Caenorhabditis elegans: one gene and its partner. The protein of the gene in region 1 interacts with the protein of each later gene in a pairwise test. Each region holds a gene or a part of one and is shown in the gene's direction. Other genes may lie near its edges.

Region 1 (7,592 bases):
CCGGCCAGGAAAGAAAAAACATATGAAGATGGGCAATAAAATGTGTGGTGATAAGCGTTGAATAGGCTCTCCAAATAAACTAAAAACTAGGCGTTAGGGTGCTTATTTATTAGTTTGGATTTTTAAGGGGGATGCTCTTTTTGCAAGTTTGCAGGTCTTTCAAAAAATCGCAAAAACCTCACTGTTTTTAATATATTTTGTAGTATTTTGTTGTTTCTACTAATTTTCATATCGAAATTTCTAATAATCCAACTGAATACATATTTTAATACATATTTTAAAATGTTTTTTTAGGAAAAAAATAGTTGAAAACAATGGGTAAAATTTTCAAAAAGTACGAAAAATTCTTTGAAAACGGGCTAAAATTTTGCCGTCCAATTCCTAACGAGACCCAGCGTTTAGGGGTGGTGCAACCTTATTACGGGAGCATAATATTCTGAGAATGCGTATTGGGCAACATATTTGACGAGCAAAATAAATTATAACTATATCTCGTAGCGAAAACTACAGTAATTCTTTAAATGACTACTGTAGTGTCGATTTACGGGGTCAATTTTTGAAATTAATTGCATAAATCATTTGTTCATCTATAGAATATTAAAGTTAAGCAAAAAAAAAGAAAAAAGTTATACGACGAAACGAAGAAATTCATTTTAAAAATCAAGCCCGTAAATCGAGCTACAGTAGTCATCTAAAGAATTACTGTAGTTTTCGCTACGAGATATTTTGCGCGTCAAATATGTTGTGCAATACGCATTATTAGAATTTTGTGTTCTAATGTAATATATTCAGATCGAAAGAGACAAATTTATTTCAAATTCTGCAAGTACTCTTTTAAAAATTCGAAAATCATCACTGTAAAAATGTGTGGAGCGAAGTTTTTTATTTTTTGATGGGAATTACACACACACAAACCGCCACCGGCAAACATAAGTCAATCGGATTAAACAGATTTAAATTGTAAATGGTAGAATTTCAAACGAAAAAATTGCCGGAAACCTAAAAAAAAAATTCCAGAACATGGGGGGAAACTTTGGTCTCATAATCAGCAAGAAAAGTGATAAGGGATCACTTTCTTTAATGGGACGCCGCCGCCGGCCAGTGGAAAAGGTTAAAAATGCAATGTGACAAAAAAATGATGCTGATTTTTCATTTTTATGGTATGTTTATTACAGACTTTGTAACTCTGAAAAAGGGCGTTACATATAGATATTTTGATTTCTTTCTTTGCTGGAAAATAAAATTAAAAGTAAGGTCTCGGCGCGCGAATTGTATTTTTTTCTTTTGCCTTTCAATGTGGAATAGTTTTTGCTTCAAAAAATTCAAAAAAAAACGTCTGAAATTCAAAAAGAATCATTAAAAAAACGATAAAATCGATAAAATCCTTCCAAAAAAGAACTACCAATCAGCGATTCGTTACGCCCAAATCTCAACCAATCAGACGGAATGGGCGGAGTTAAAGAATGCTGATTGGGTGGAAAGTAGGCGGAGTGAATCGCTGATTGGTCTTGCAGTTCTCATTTTATCTGGAGGGAATTCTCAAATGAGAACTGCGACCAATCAGCGACTTCGAACTCCGTACACTCCATCGTTGATTGGTCGCATTTCTCCGTGTTTTTTAATTGAATTTTTCTTGTTTTTTTGTGGATTTTTTAAGCCAAAATGGATAAAAAATAAAAAGAAAAAAGAAAAACCCAAAAAAAAAGTATTTTTTTTAATTGATAAAAATATATAAAAGCTGATTTTTTCAAAAATTCAAAAGTCCTGGAAAATCATATGGAGTCATTCTTTTTTATTTCCCACTCCATCGTTGATTGGTCGCATTTCTCCGTGTTTTTTAATTGAATTTTTCTTGTTTTTTGTTGTGGATTTTTTAAGCCAAAATGGATAAAAAATAAAAAGAAAAAAGAAAAAACCCGTGGCATCATAAATTTCGCATTGTCACGTGGCATTGTTTATTTTCCGTTCGGACAAAAAATAATGAAAAAAATATTATTTCCAATTCGATCCCGATGAAAAGTTGCAGAAGTTGTAAGGAAAATCCTGAAGTGCAGAGAAAACGAGCCGAGAAGCCGTGGCGACGGGCTCCGAAGGCCAAATCAGAAGTCGAAAAGCATGGAATCGGTCCACCGGACAGTGATTCAGGGGAGGAAATATCATTTCCTTGGTATAATGTGACCGGTAAGTGAGTCATCTCGACTTTTTCGGAAATAAGCTGAGAGGCTTATATTTCTTTTTGTCGCATTTCATGAACTTTCAGCCAGTTTCAGTTATTACTCAGATGTCAAACTTTTTCGTTTTTTTGAACTCGAAAATACGATCCCGACGCGACAATTTTTGTAATATGCAAAAAGGCGTGCGCCTTTGAAGAGTACTGTAACTTCCTAACTTCCACCACGATTTTCATCGATTATTCATGGATTGTCTCCCGTTTCCGCAATTTTTAAATGTGTTTTATTTTGTTTAAAAAAAATAGCGTCTTGTGCAACATATTTGACGCACAAAATATCTCTTAAGTTAGCGAAAACTACAGTAATTCTAATTCTTTTTTTTCCATTTTCATTCGTTTCTTCGCATAATTTTCTCATTTTTATTTTTATTTTAATATTTTAGCGATAGTAAAGTAAAATTTTAATCCATCCGAGCCCGTAAATCGACTACAGTAGTCATTTATAAAGTTACTGTAGCTTTCGTTACAAGATATTTTGCGCGTCAAATATGTTGTGTGAGACGCATTATCATAATTCTGTGTTGTAGTAATAGTTTTAGTAATAGTTTTTCGTCAAAAAATGTTCTTGAAAAGTAAATGAAAACTGAAAATTCCGCTTTGCAGTTAGAGTTACTATTTAAAGGCGCATACACAATTTTGCATTCAACCAAAATTTTTCGTGTCGAGACCTGGTATCGTACGTTTCCCAAGTGTTTATGTGCAAAGGTTACCCATCATAATCCTTTTTTGCTCCGTCTTTTTGCACCACACCCAAAAAAAGCAAGAAAGAGCTCATAACCATAGAGCAATGTCTCTCTGTCTGTCTTTCTTTGTGAGCTTTTCATGTGTATGTGTCCTATTTAGAAGCACTGCATTTTCTTTCCCTCCTCCACGTCTTCCGGCTCTCTCGGTCCCCCCCCCCCCCCCCCCAACTATTCCCGATTGCGAAACACGAGCTCTTCGGGAACCGAGCCCCCACTTCCAATTCTTCGTGTCCCTCATTTTATTGCCGCATTCCGGCGAGTCTTCTTTAGTTTCAGTCGTTTGAACATTTGTTCTCGAGAAATTCGATAATTTTTATTAGGGAAAAGTAGGTTTCAAATCGAAAACTCGGCTTAAATCGTTGAATTTGAAGGAAAAATTTAATAAATAGTGTCTAAAATTATAGAAAATTATGCAAAGCTTTGACAAAGCTTTGCAAAGGCGAGAAATCAAAAATTGAATTTTTCTAGACTTGTCTAATTGCCTCTGATATGTTTTGACCTACAATTGACCTACGATCTCAGGCGGGCGCGCACGAATTCATATTTTTGTTTCGCGAAGTTTCTCTCATTTTGTTTTTCCTTCGCTATCATTTTAGGTGGTTTTCGGGTTGACTCAGCCGGTTTTTGGCCAGTTTTTTTTGTTTTAAGTTAATTTTTCTTATTTTGTCACAATTTCTTTTTGATTAATGGCAAATAATTATTATAATCTGAACATTTTGCTTTGAAACTCGAAAAAATCTAGAAAAAGAATAATTGTATCGTAGTCGTTTTCTGATTTTTACATGGAATTCAAGTCAATATTCATGTTTTTTAATGAAAAAACATGAATTTTCTCCAAGAAACGATTATTCATTTAAAGGAACATACGTGCCTGCTGAGCTCGTGTCTCGTAGCGAAATTTGTATCGTAGTCGTTTCCGCATTTTTTAGTTTTTAGACCTTTTCAAGAAATTTTCTCTGTTTTTCGCTTCAGAAAAGATCCATTTTCGCGAACATTTCTACCATTTTTTTTACAAAATTATCCTGTTACATCGATTTTGATCGATATCATCAAAATACACTAGTTTTCTCCTCCAAAACCGTCTGTTTTACATTTCTGGAGCCCACGTTTCTGACCGTTTCGCTCCGTAATCCGTTGGAAGAAGCACTCCTTTGTGTGTCCAGACCCACCCGTCCATGCTGTGTCCATCGAGCGGTCGCCTGTCTGCGTTTCTTCACTCCCCTCGCCTATTTCATCCGTTTTCCTCCCTCTACTCCCCCTTCGAACGCAATTTTCGCGCCAATTTCCCAGCAGCAGCAGCGGCAGTACTCGCCATTTCATAACATCTCCCCCGCCACTGACTAATGTTTTCCGATAGTTTATCATTTTCTTTCATGGGATATGAACAATTGTTTCCTTTATTCTTACGCTCTAATTAACTCGAATCCAATTAATTTGTTATTATTTTCAGGTAAAATGCTTGTCGTCGGGATGCATGTGGAAATCAAGCGGAGCGACGGCCGCATCCACGGTGCCGTAATCGCCGAAGTTAAGTCGAACGGCCGGTTTATGGTGGAATGGTATGAGAAGGTGAGTCGCATCCTTCGAGAAGACCATCACTCGTCACAGAATCATGCATTTCGGATGTGATGCCGAACCAAAAATCATGCATTTGGCATTGTGTACTTTCTTTCTTCTCTTTTTTCTCTTGCAATCTTTCACATTTTCAGGGCGAGACAAAAGGAAAGGAATCCTCGTTGGAAGAACTTCTCACGCTGAACCCATCACTCCAAGCACCGAAGCCTACGCCGCCGCCACAGCCTCCTCAAAAAACGCTTCAAGCGTCAACTGCTGTCAACAGACAAAACGGGATCCATGCGCAGAGCATGATACTCGATGACGAGGATACATTCCTCTTGGATCATATCAACATGATTCCGGCTAAAGGTTTGTTGGAGAGTTCTGGTTTAATATGAAACAAAAATTGATTTTCAGGTGCTTCTGCCAACAAACGACCAACGGGAGCTTTCACGCAGCACGTTCCTGTTCGTATGGCTCCTCCATCCGAAAAGCCTCTCCCGACTCGTCGTGCTCCGTCACCGAAGGAGGATGCTGCTCCTGCACCGAAGTCTACTCGTACGACAGCAGCCTTCAAGCCAGATCTTGATAGTACGGCGATCACGGTTCCGAAGCACACTGCAAGGCGCACAGTTGTGGTAGCTCCAGCTCCGGCCCCTGTTCCTGCTCCACCAATCGCCAACATGACATCACAGCGAGCCCCGTCTCCAGTGGCAAGAGTTCCGTCGCCGAAGAACGTACCGCGGTCGTATCCACAACAGGATGTTCAGCCGTCGAATGGGAACTTTGCTTTCGCGGAGATGATTCGCAACTACAGAGCCCAGATCGACTATCGTCCGTTGAGCATGTTCGACGGTGTCAACGAGAATCGGATTTCCGTTTGCGTTCGGAAGCGCCCACTGAACAAGAAGGAGCTGACGAAAGCGGAGGTCGATGTGATCACGATCCCTTCTCGTGACATCACAATTCTCCATCAACCACAAACACGTGTCGACTTGACAAAGTATCTGGACAATCAGAAGTTCCGATTCGATTACTCTTTCGACGAGTACGCCAACAACGAGCTGGTCTATCGGTTGGTTTTTTTAATTTTTCAGTTTTCGTTTTTAAAAATGATATTTTCAGCTTCACTGCAGCACCACTCGTGAAAACCGTCTTCGACAATGGAACTGCGACGTGCTTTGCCTACGGTCAAACAGGATCCGGAAAGACGCACACAATGGGTGGAGATTTCTCCGGAAAGAAGCAGAATGCGTCGATGGGAATCTACGCGTTGACGGCACGAGATGTGTTCCGGATGCTCGAGCAGCCACAGTACCGTCGCAAGGATCTCTCGGTGCACTGTGCGTTCTTCGAGATTTACGGAACGAAGACGTACGACTTGCTCAACGATAAGGCCGAGCTTCGTGTGCTTGAGGATAAGATGCAGAAGGTGCAGGTTGTTGGGCTCAAAGAGGAGCAAGCGCACAATGAGCAGGATGTCTTGGAGCTCATCAACAAAGGAACTCTGGTCAGAACCGCTGGAACCACTTCGGCAAACGCGAACTCGTCGCGTTCTCACGCCATATTCCAGATCATTCTTAGACAGTTAGTTTTTGTTTTTACGTGAAGATTGCTTTAAAATTAATTATTTTCAGAGGCAAAAAGGTGTGGGGCAAGTTCTCGTTGATCGACTTGGCTGGAAACGAGCGAGGACAAGACACGAGAGAATGCGATCGTGACACGCGGAAAGAGGGCGCCAACATCAACACATCGCTGCTCGCACTGAAGGAGTGCATCCGTGGAATGGCTCGCAACAGCTCACATGTCCCGTTCAGACAGTCGAAGCTCACGATGGTTCTCCGAGACAGCTTCATCGGTGAGAAGTCCAGGACAGTGATGATCTCGATGATTTCGCCAGGGATCTCGTCGAGTGATCACACGCTCAACACACTTCGCTACGCGGATCGGTAGGAATTTTATTTATTTTTTGCTAAAAAAAATTCACATTTTTCAGTGTCAAAGAAATGGGAACCGACGGAAGCGGCGAAGCAACCCCAATTCGAGACGAGGAATTGTTCCTGCCCCCATCGGCAGACAAATCGGATGAAGAGTACGATGAGATGGTCGAGAAGCAAGAACATCGTCGAGTAGCGGTCGATCACGTCCGGAACCTGAAAGATATGTCTGAAAAGATCATACGCGAAACGACGATTGTCCTCTCCAACGAGCCGAGTGCTGCCCAGAAAGCCGAATGCCTCGCCAAGCTTGATCAACTTGCGCAGATAGTCTCGAACACCCGTGTCGCCGTGGAAAACGTCTGATTGCTGATTCCCGCGACGATATGCTACCCACTTCATGTACCATGATTATTACTCCCCGCCCCCCTCATTATTCACCATTTTCTATTTATTTTTATCGCATTCCTCCAATATTTTACCGTATTTATTTCATTTAGGGTATGTGAAAATTATTTGACCCTCCCCTTCCATCTTTTTCCCCTCTCGTTGTGAATATTTTACGGGTCCCCATTTTTTCTCGGTTCCGTTTTAAATGAACCATTTTATTCGTTTAATCAGTGTTCAATTTGAAGGTGGCTGTTCCGGAATTCATGCACAATTAAGTCGTTCTCTTGAGGCCCCACGAAAAGGGGAGCAGAACGAAAAGGGGATCTGCAAAAAGGAGATCTGCGAAAAGGGGAGATACGAAAAGGGGAGATACGAAAAAGGGGAGATACGAAAAGGAGATCTGGCACTGTGCCAAACGCTATTTTTCTCGAAGAAAACAATACAACGATGCTCCGATGTTACGCGTCGCGTGTTGTTAAGCGTATCTTCTAGAAGAAAATTTCAAAAATCAACGTGCGTTGCGTGAGAAAAATTGCGTTTTGTGCGTTTGGCACAGTGCCAGCTCCCCTTTTCGTATCTCCCCTTTTCATATCTCCCCTTTTCGCAGATCCCCTTTTTGCAGATCCCCTTTTTGCAGATCCCCTTTTCGTTCTGCTCCCCGTTTCGTGGGGCCTCGTTCTCTTCAAAAAATCGTTGTGATACCCAGCATGCTCCTTTAAACTTGCGTGGGATCCT
Region 2 (7,840 bases), on another chromosome or scaffold:
GCAATTTTGAACCGAGAAAAAGTTGAAAATTTGCCTATTTTACACTGAAAACTCTAAAAAAGATTCAATTTTCTTTCAGTTTTCCCGAATTTCTGCTCTAAAAACTAAAAATTATCGATTTTTGCAGTATAACATCTAGAAAATCAACAATTTGACAATTTTAAACTGAAAAAAAGTAAAAATTCGGCCTTTTTTATTTGAAAACTCAAAAAAATCTTATTTATTCCTCTAAAAACCAAAAATTATTGATTTTTGCTATAAAACACTCGGAAAATCAACAATTTGACAATTTTTAATAGAGAAAAAATTAAAAATTTGCTTATTTTACACTGAAAACTCTAAAAAAGAATATGTTTTCTTTCAGTTTTCCCGAATTTCTGCTCTAAAAACTAAAAATTATCGATTTTTGTAAAAAAATCTCAATTTGACAGTAAAAACTCATATTTCACACTGAAAACTCCAAAAAAACTCAATTTTCTTTCAGTTTTCCCTTACAAAAAGCACAATTTGGGTTGTATCTACAACGTCATTGATCGCCTTCCTTCCATACATTATCGAAAAGGAACGAAGTGATTTGGAAAAGACTCAAGTGGCTCAGCAACGTCAAATGCTTCTCGGACCATCTGCGGCCATTCAACAAGCCAAAACTGCTTGAAAAACTTGATTTTCTCGCCGAAAATCCCCCTTAAAACCGTCTGAAATTGATCTTTTCCTAGATTTTCCCCTGTTTTTCGTCTTCTGATAGCTTTTTTTGCGATAGAATTCATTATCATATAAATTGTTGATTTTCTAACATTTTTCAAGGATTTTTCTAGCACAATATCCCGGTTTTTTCATCCAAAACTTGTATTTTTATCGATTTTTTTGACGTTTTTCACTTTTTCCAGGTAAAAATCCGAATTTTAAGCTTTAAAAAGCCTTAAAAAACACAAAAATTGCAAATTTTCGCGCTGAAAGTCGCATAAAATTGAATTTTTATAATTTCTGTTCGAAAAATCTTCAATTTTTCGCTGAAAAATTTTTTCCCTGGCAAAAATTCAAATTTTGGGTCTGCTAGGCTACAAACTACAAATTTCGATTTAGCAGACCCGATTTAGAAGAAAAAACGAAGAGTTTTCAGTCTAAAAAGCTTGAAAAATAGCCTTAAAACTTGATTTTTTCGCTTTTTTATTGAAAAAAAACAAAATTTATCATTTTTATCCCAGAAAATCGCTGAAAACCCCGAATTTCGCCTATTTTCTTCGTTTTCACCCAATTTTCTTCAAATTTTCGCAATTTTCAGCTCATTTCCATTATCTAAATTTTTTGCAGCACTGTATTCGGGTTATTTCATCCAAAATGCGTATTTTTATCTTTTTTTCTTGTAGTTTTTCACTTTTTTTCAGGCAAAAATATATGAGACATCGAATTTTAAGCTTTAAAAATGCTTAAAAACACAAAAATCGTCAATTTTTGCACTAAAAGTCCCAAAAACTTCAATTTTTCTAATTTTTATTCGAAAAATGTTCAATTTCTCGCTGAAAAATTGCTTTAAAAAAATTTAATTCTGAAAATTTTTGGTCTGCTAGACTACAAACTACAAATTTCGATTTAGCAGACCAATGTGATTTTTAAGAAGAAATTACGAGTTTTCACTTCGAAAAGCTTGAAAAATGGTCTTGAAACTTGATTTTTCCTGTTTTTTAATCTAAAAAATTAAAAATTTAGCATTTTCAGCTCGGAAAATCGCTGAAAACCCCGAATTTTTGCTATTTTTCCTTGTTTTCACCTTATTTTCTTCAAATTTTCGCAATTTTCAGCCCGTGTCCACCGTCTAAAAGCTCCCAAAATGGATCCAAAACCCATAAACGAAGGAATGTTACTGGAGGATCATGATCATGGAATGCCTGAAGAAGAAGAAATAACAGAAGATGATATGAATGGAATTCATAATATAGAAGAGGATACACGAACAATTAGTGAAATAGCAATGGAGCTTCATCATCCGAATAAAAGTCAAGTTTTACTTGATCAGGAACGATTTTTGCCAATTGGTATGGGAAAACATGCGGAAATTTTGATGAAAATCGATAAATTCCCGGAATTTTACACGAAAAATTGAAATTTCTTGAAAAATCTAGACTGAAAAGTGAAAAAATTCATAAATTTCCGATAAAAACCGCCATTTTTTCTAAAATTGCCCTTTAAAATGAAAAAATATCACATGGGTCTGCTAAATCGAAAATTGTAGTTTGTAGTCTAGCAGACCAATTTTGTTCAAAATCACTTTGGTCTGCTAAATCGAATTTTGTAGTTTGTAGTCTAGCAGACCAAACTTCTTCAATATCTATTGGTCTGCTAAATCTAAACTTGTAGTTTGTAGTCTAGCAGACCAATTTTGTTCAGAACAACAATGGTCTGCTAAATCGAATATTGTAGTTTGTAGTCTAGCAGACCAATTTTTTACAATTTTTTTTTCAAAAACATAAATTTTCGACAAAAATCGATTTTTTTTGTAATTTTTTTTTCAAGAATTGAAAGTTTCTCTGCAAAAAGGCATCAAGCTCGAGATTTTTCAATTTTTTTAAAACAAAAATCGTTGAAAATTCTCCAAAAATCCCAATTTTTTCAGCTAACGTGGTCCGAATCATGAAAACTCAAATGGATCCGCAGGCGAAATTGGCAAAAGACGCAAAGGAGTGTGCTCAAGAGTGTGTTTCAGAGTTTATAAGCTTTATCGCTTCGGAAGCCGCTGAAATATGCAATATTACGAAGCGGAAGACTATTACTGCAGGTAAAACCGGGAAACTCCGTCTAAAATTACCCGCAAATCGTCCAAAAACTACAATTTTCGCATGGAAAACCTTTTTAAAAACTCAAAAACAGCCCAAAAGCCCAAAAAACCCTAAAAACCGCAATTTTCAATATAAAAAAATTTCCAGACGACCTGCTCACCGCGATGGAAGCCACAGGATTCGACAATTACGCGGAGCCAATGCGAATTTTCCTTCAAAAGTACCGTCAGGCTCACAAGATCACTGGACCAATTCACAGAACACACCCAGACTACGTACGGCCTCCACAATTTCAAATGGATCCTTTTGTTCGGCCATTATTCTTCGATACGGAGCAAGGACGCAGATGTTCGTGTGTGAAAATCGGAAAATTTTGCCTGAAAATAGATTAAATTGATGGAAAAATAGAAAAAAAAACTGGAAATTTGACTGGAAATGGATTAAATTTATGGAAAAAATAGTAAAAAACTAGAAATTTCACAGAAAATAGACTAAATTAGTGGAAAAAAATAGAAAAAACGAAATTTGACAGAAAATAGACTAAATTTATGGAAAAAATAGTAAAAAACTAGAAATTTGACAGAAAATAGACTAAATTTATGGAAAAAAATAGAAAAAACGAAATTTGACAGAAAATAGACTAAATTTATGGAAAAAATAATAAAAAACTAGAAATTTCACAGAAAATAGACTAAATTTATGGAAAAAATAATAAAAAACTAGAAATTTCACAGAAAATAGACTAAATTTATGGAAAAAATAGAAAAAACCGGAAACTTGAAATTTAGACTAAGAATTGTTTTTTTTTCAAAGATTGAAGTACTGAGAATGATGATTTTTCATTTAAAAAAATTGTCAAAACTCTGAATTTTTTGCTGAAAAATATTCAGAAGCCGAAATAATAGTAAAAAAACGGTGAAAATTGCATTTTTTCCACATAAATCTCAAAAATTCATTTTTCAGTTTTTTTCAACTACAGTATCCTTTGAAGTCATAGAAAAAATTACAAGATTCGCAGAAAACTCGAAAAAATCATAATTTTAACGCTAAAAACTTAAAATTCAGAATTTTTGGCTTTTAATTTCGGCTTCTGAGTATTTTTCAGCAAAAAATTTAGAGTTTTGACACATTTTTAATGAAAATTATCATTCTCAGTGCTTCAAGCTTTGAAAAATTAATGGGAAGAATAGTAAAAACCTGAACAAAAATGGTTTTCTCTGGAAAAATTCCTAAAAATTTTTTTCAGAGCTTGAAGCACTGAGAATGATGATTTTCCTTTAAAAATTTGTCAAAATTCTAAATTTTTTGCTGAAAGTTGCACAAATTCTTAATTTTGAATTTTTAGCGTTAAATATATGATTTTTTCGAGTTTTCTACGAATCTTGCAACTTGTTCTATGACTTTCAAGGATACTATAGTTAAAAAAAAACTAATAATGCATTTTTAAGATTTATATGGAAAAATTGCAATTCTCACCGTTTTTTTCCCAAAATTTTGAATTTTTCGCGAAACTCAGCAGCTTTGCATAGTAGTTTCAAGCGACTTTTTTTCGGAAAAATACCGAAACTTGCTCTGAAAATGCCATATAACTCCTATAAGGATTACTGTAGTTTCTCTACAAAAATAAATTTCTGTGACTCATGTCCTTCTATCCAAATTGATGGCTGGAATATCGGTATTCTCGGCTGAAACATGCAATAAATACCGTATTCCAACCAACAATTTGTGCAATAGAGCACATTTGTCACCGGAGATGCGGAAGCTATGCCCAAATTTTCAATTTTTCTAGGAAAATGATGAAAAAAATTGCAATTTTCCAGGTACCGAGACTCAATACGTGATAAATGGCAGTGAAATTGTGAAAAATGCTCCATTGGGAGAAGAATGGAATGAGCAAACTGGTACATTGAATACCCGCGCAGATGGATATTATATGGAGGTGAAAATTGGATTTTCTGGATGGAAAACTGTGGAAAAATGGATTTTTCCACTAAAAACCTGAATTTTTAACTCAAAAATTGATTTTTTTAACTCAAAAATTGAATTTTTAATTCAAAAATTGAATTTTTAATTCAAAAATTGAATTTTTAACTCAAAAATTGAATTTTTAATTCAAAAATTGAATTTTTAACTCAAAAATTGAATTTTTAACTCAAAAATTGATTTTTTAACTCAAAAATTGATTTTTTAACTCAAAAAATTCGATTTTTCAGGAGCCAATGGAGCCGATGCCGATGGAAGAAGTAGAAATTGAAGAACACGAGGAAATTATTGAGCAAGATTCACTTGGAGCCATCGCCTTGGAGCAACAAGGCCAAATGCAGATTTATGTGGATCCAAAGACGAAACAACATTTTGCAGCGAAAGAAAGTACGGAATTTTTTATGAAATTCTGAATTTTCCAGCGTGAAAATTGGAAAAATTGAGAAAAATCGATTTTTTTTTGTGAAAATTCCGGAAAAATCGAAGTTTCGCCGATTTTGTGGCGTTTCCAGAAAATTTCTCATTTTTTTCCTTAAAAATTAGAAAAATTAGATTTTTACAGCACAAAAAAAACAGAAAATTGAAATTTTCTTGATTTCCAGCTCAAAAATTGGAAAAAATGGTTTAAAACCGATTTTGAACGGAAAAAATCTAGGAAAATCGATTTTTTTTTTGGTGAAAACTTCAGAAAAAATCGAAATTTCGTCAACTTTTGTGGATTTTACTGAAAATTCCCTATGTTTGCCGTAAAGATTAGAAAAAATTGGTCCAGATTTGATTTTTACAGCAGAAAACTAGAAAATTCAAATTTTTTTTGATTTTTAGCATAAAAACTCGAAAAAATTGGTTTTAATTTGATTTTCTACCTGAAAAATCCGAGAAAATCGATATTTTCCCGATTTTTATATTAAAATTTGTGAAAATTGACATTTTCTCGATTTTTCTGAAAACAATTGTGAATTTTCTCGATTTTCTGTCAAATATCTAAGAAAATGTTTTTAAATAATTCCGGAAAAGCAAATTTCAGCTCCGAATGGCATGGAACTCTACCCTCTGATCATCCAGGACACCCCACTGCAATTGGAAAATGTTTCTGGGCCAAATGTACGATTTCCAGCACTTTTCACAGCGAATTTCAGATTTTTAGTGCGAAATTCGAATTCAGCGCCTCAATTTACCCCCAGAACCCTGTTTCCCCGTCTTCTAGCTCAACATTTTGAATATTTCGGGTTACTGTAGCCCCAAGAGTACGCAAACACCGACTACTGTAACCCAAAGCACCAGATTTTACGGCATTGGCGAATTTCGAGCTGAAAATTGATTTGACGGGGTAAATTGGAGTGCTGAATTCAAAAATCGTATTTAAAATTTCAGAAAATTTGATTTGAAAATCGGAAATTTTGAAATTTTCAGACAAATTTTTTTTTGGGCAAAAACCTTGTAATTTTGAAATTTTAATGCGAAATTCGAATTCAGCGCCAAAAATTACCTTCATTTTCCTTTTCCCCGTGCTTCTAGCTCAAAGTTTGAATATTTTGGGTTACTGTAGCCCCAAGAGTACGCAAATACCGACTACAGTACCCCAAAACACCAGATTTTACGAAATTTGCGAATGTTGAGCTGAAAATTGATTTCCCGGGGTAAAATTGGAGTGCTGAATTCGAAAATCGTATTGAAAATTTCAGAAATTTTGATTAAAAAATTTTTTTTGTTCGAAATTTAATATTTTTTCAGCAATTCGTTATGAATATGCCAGATGGACGAGCAATACCCCACGGAATGGGACAAGAAGAGCCTCAGCCAGTGTCAAGTAGCTCAGTTATGCGGAAAATCGGTAAAATATTGCATTTTTTAGTGATTTTCTGTTCAAAAATGCTGAAAAATGGAGATTTTACTGGTTTTAATGGGAAAAAATCAAGTTTTTAGCATTTTTGAGCCATTTTAATCGGGAAAAAAGTGATTTTGAAGCATTTTAACCCCAATTTTCCAGTTTTATAAAATGAATTTTCCGATTAAATAAGTGTTTTCATGTATTTTCAGCTAATTTTTAGTCTTTTTTAATCGAAAAAACTGATTTTCAGCCAATTTTTCTTTTAAAAAAAGTGATTTTAGGCATTTTTGGCCTATTTTTACCTATTTTGCATATGTTTTTTTCAGAAAAATGAAATTTTTGCACATTTTCAGTCAATTTTCCCGATTTTCAGGTCAAAATCCGTCTTCCTATGCCCAGCAGCACCACCACGTCAGCCACGTGGAACAACACGATGACGTGGAATATGAAGAAGAAGAAGAAGTAGATCAAGTAGAGGAGGATACAGTACCCGTTCCAATCGCGCCGAGACCCGCAGCCACCCGAGTTCAGCCGAAACGAACGCCGACGAAGAGGAAAAAGTAGAGAAAATTGCAAAAAATGATAATTTCTCGATTTTTATTGTATTTTTCGCATTTTTTCACCCTGAAATCCCAACTTTTTGAGGAATTTTTAAAATTTTGCACTGAAAATCACCATTTTTACCGAATTTTTTATTGGATTTTTTCTCATTTTCCCTCAAAACTGAATCTGAAAACTGCAATTTTTGCAAAAATTCAATTTTCCAAAATTTTCCATTTTTCATTGATCTCCATCGTATCCATTTCCTTGACAACTTAACATATACAATTGTAATTATTTTTGAAATATTTATTCATTTATTTATTTATATCTCTAATTTATTGCAAAAAAATAAATTCAATTATACCCCAATGCCTCAGTTTTCACTTAACCACCAAAAAAATTCGTTTCAAATCGATTTTTCAATTTTTCCACACTTTTCCCATTGAATTTCAAATTTTCAATGCGAAATTCGAATTCAGCGCCTCAAATTACCCCTATTTCCTTTTTCTCCCGGCTTCCAGCTCTAATTTTAAGAAAATTGGGGTACTGTAGCTCCAGGAGTACGCAAACACTGACTACAGTACCCCAAAACGCCTGATTTTACGACACTTGCGAATTTTGAGCTGAAAATTGATTTGACGGAGTAAAATGGGGTGCTGAATTCTAAAATCGTATTAAAAATTTCTGAAAATTTTTATTTGAAAATCTG

What was found.
Region 2: the proteins of klp-7 (region 1) and nfyb-1 interact in a two-hybrid assay, tested with the Caenorhabditis elegans proteins (2 studies listed by BioGRID).

The regions. Positions count from the first base shown.
Region 1 is NC_003281.10:10,803,918-10,811,509, forward strand, and holds klp-7 (Kinesin-like protein), read left to right. Parts: upstream 1-2,007; 5' UTR 2,008-2,012; coding exon 2,013-2,181; intron 2,182-3,564; exon of another isoform or gene 3,565-3,585; intron 3,586-4,120; exon of another isoform or gene 4,121-4,265; intron 4,266-4,423; coding exon 4,424-4,542; intron 4,543-4,682; coding exon 4,683-4,899; intron 4,900-4,947; coding exon 4,948-5,605; intron 5,606-5,655; coding exon 5,656-6,117; intron 6,118-6,167; coding exon 6,168-6,479; intron 6,480-6,526; coding exon 6,527-6,833; 3' UTR 6,834-7,082; downstream 7,083-7,592.
Region 2 is NC_003280.10:461,325-469,164, reverse strand, and holds nfyb-1 (Nuclear transcription factor Y subunit nfyb-1), read left to right. Parts: upstream 1-1,799; 5' UTR 1,800-1,828; coding exon 1,829-2,033; intron 2,034-2,259; exon of another isoform or gene 2,260-2,316; intron 2,317-2,611; coding exon 2,612-2,773; intron 2,774-2,921; coding exon 2,922-3,122; intron 3,123-4,594; coding exon 4,595-4,713; intron 4,714-4,987; coding exon 4,988-5,144; intron 5,145-5,784; coding exon 5,785-5,861; intron 5,862-6,491; coding exon 6,492-6,591; intron 6,592-6,961; coding exon 6,962-7,152; 3' UTR 7,153-7,498; downstream 7,499-7,840. Other genes in the region: tomm-22 (Mitochondrial import receptor subunit TOM22 homolog), read left to right, coding at 485-655.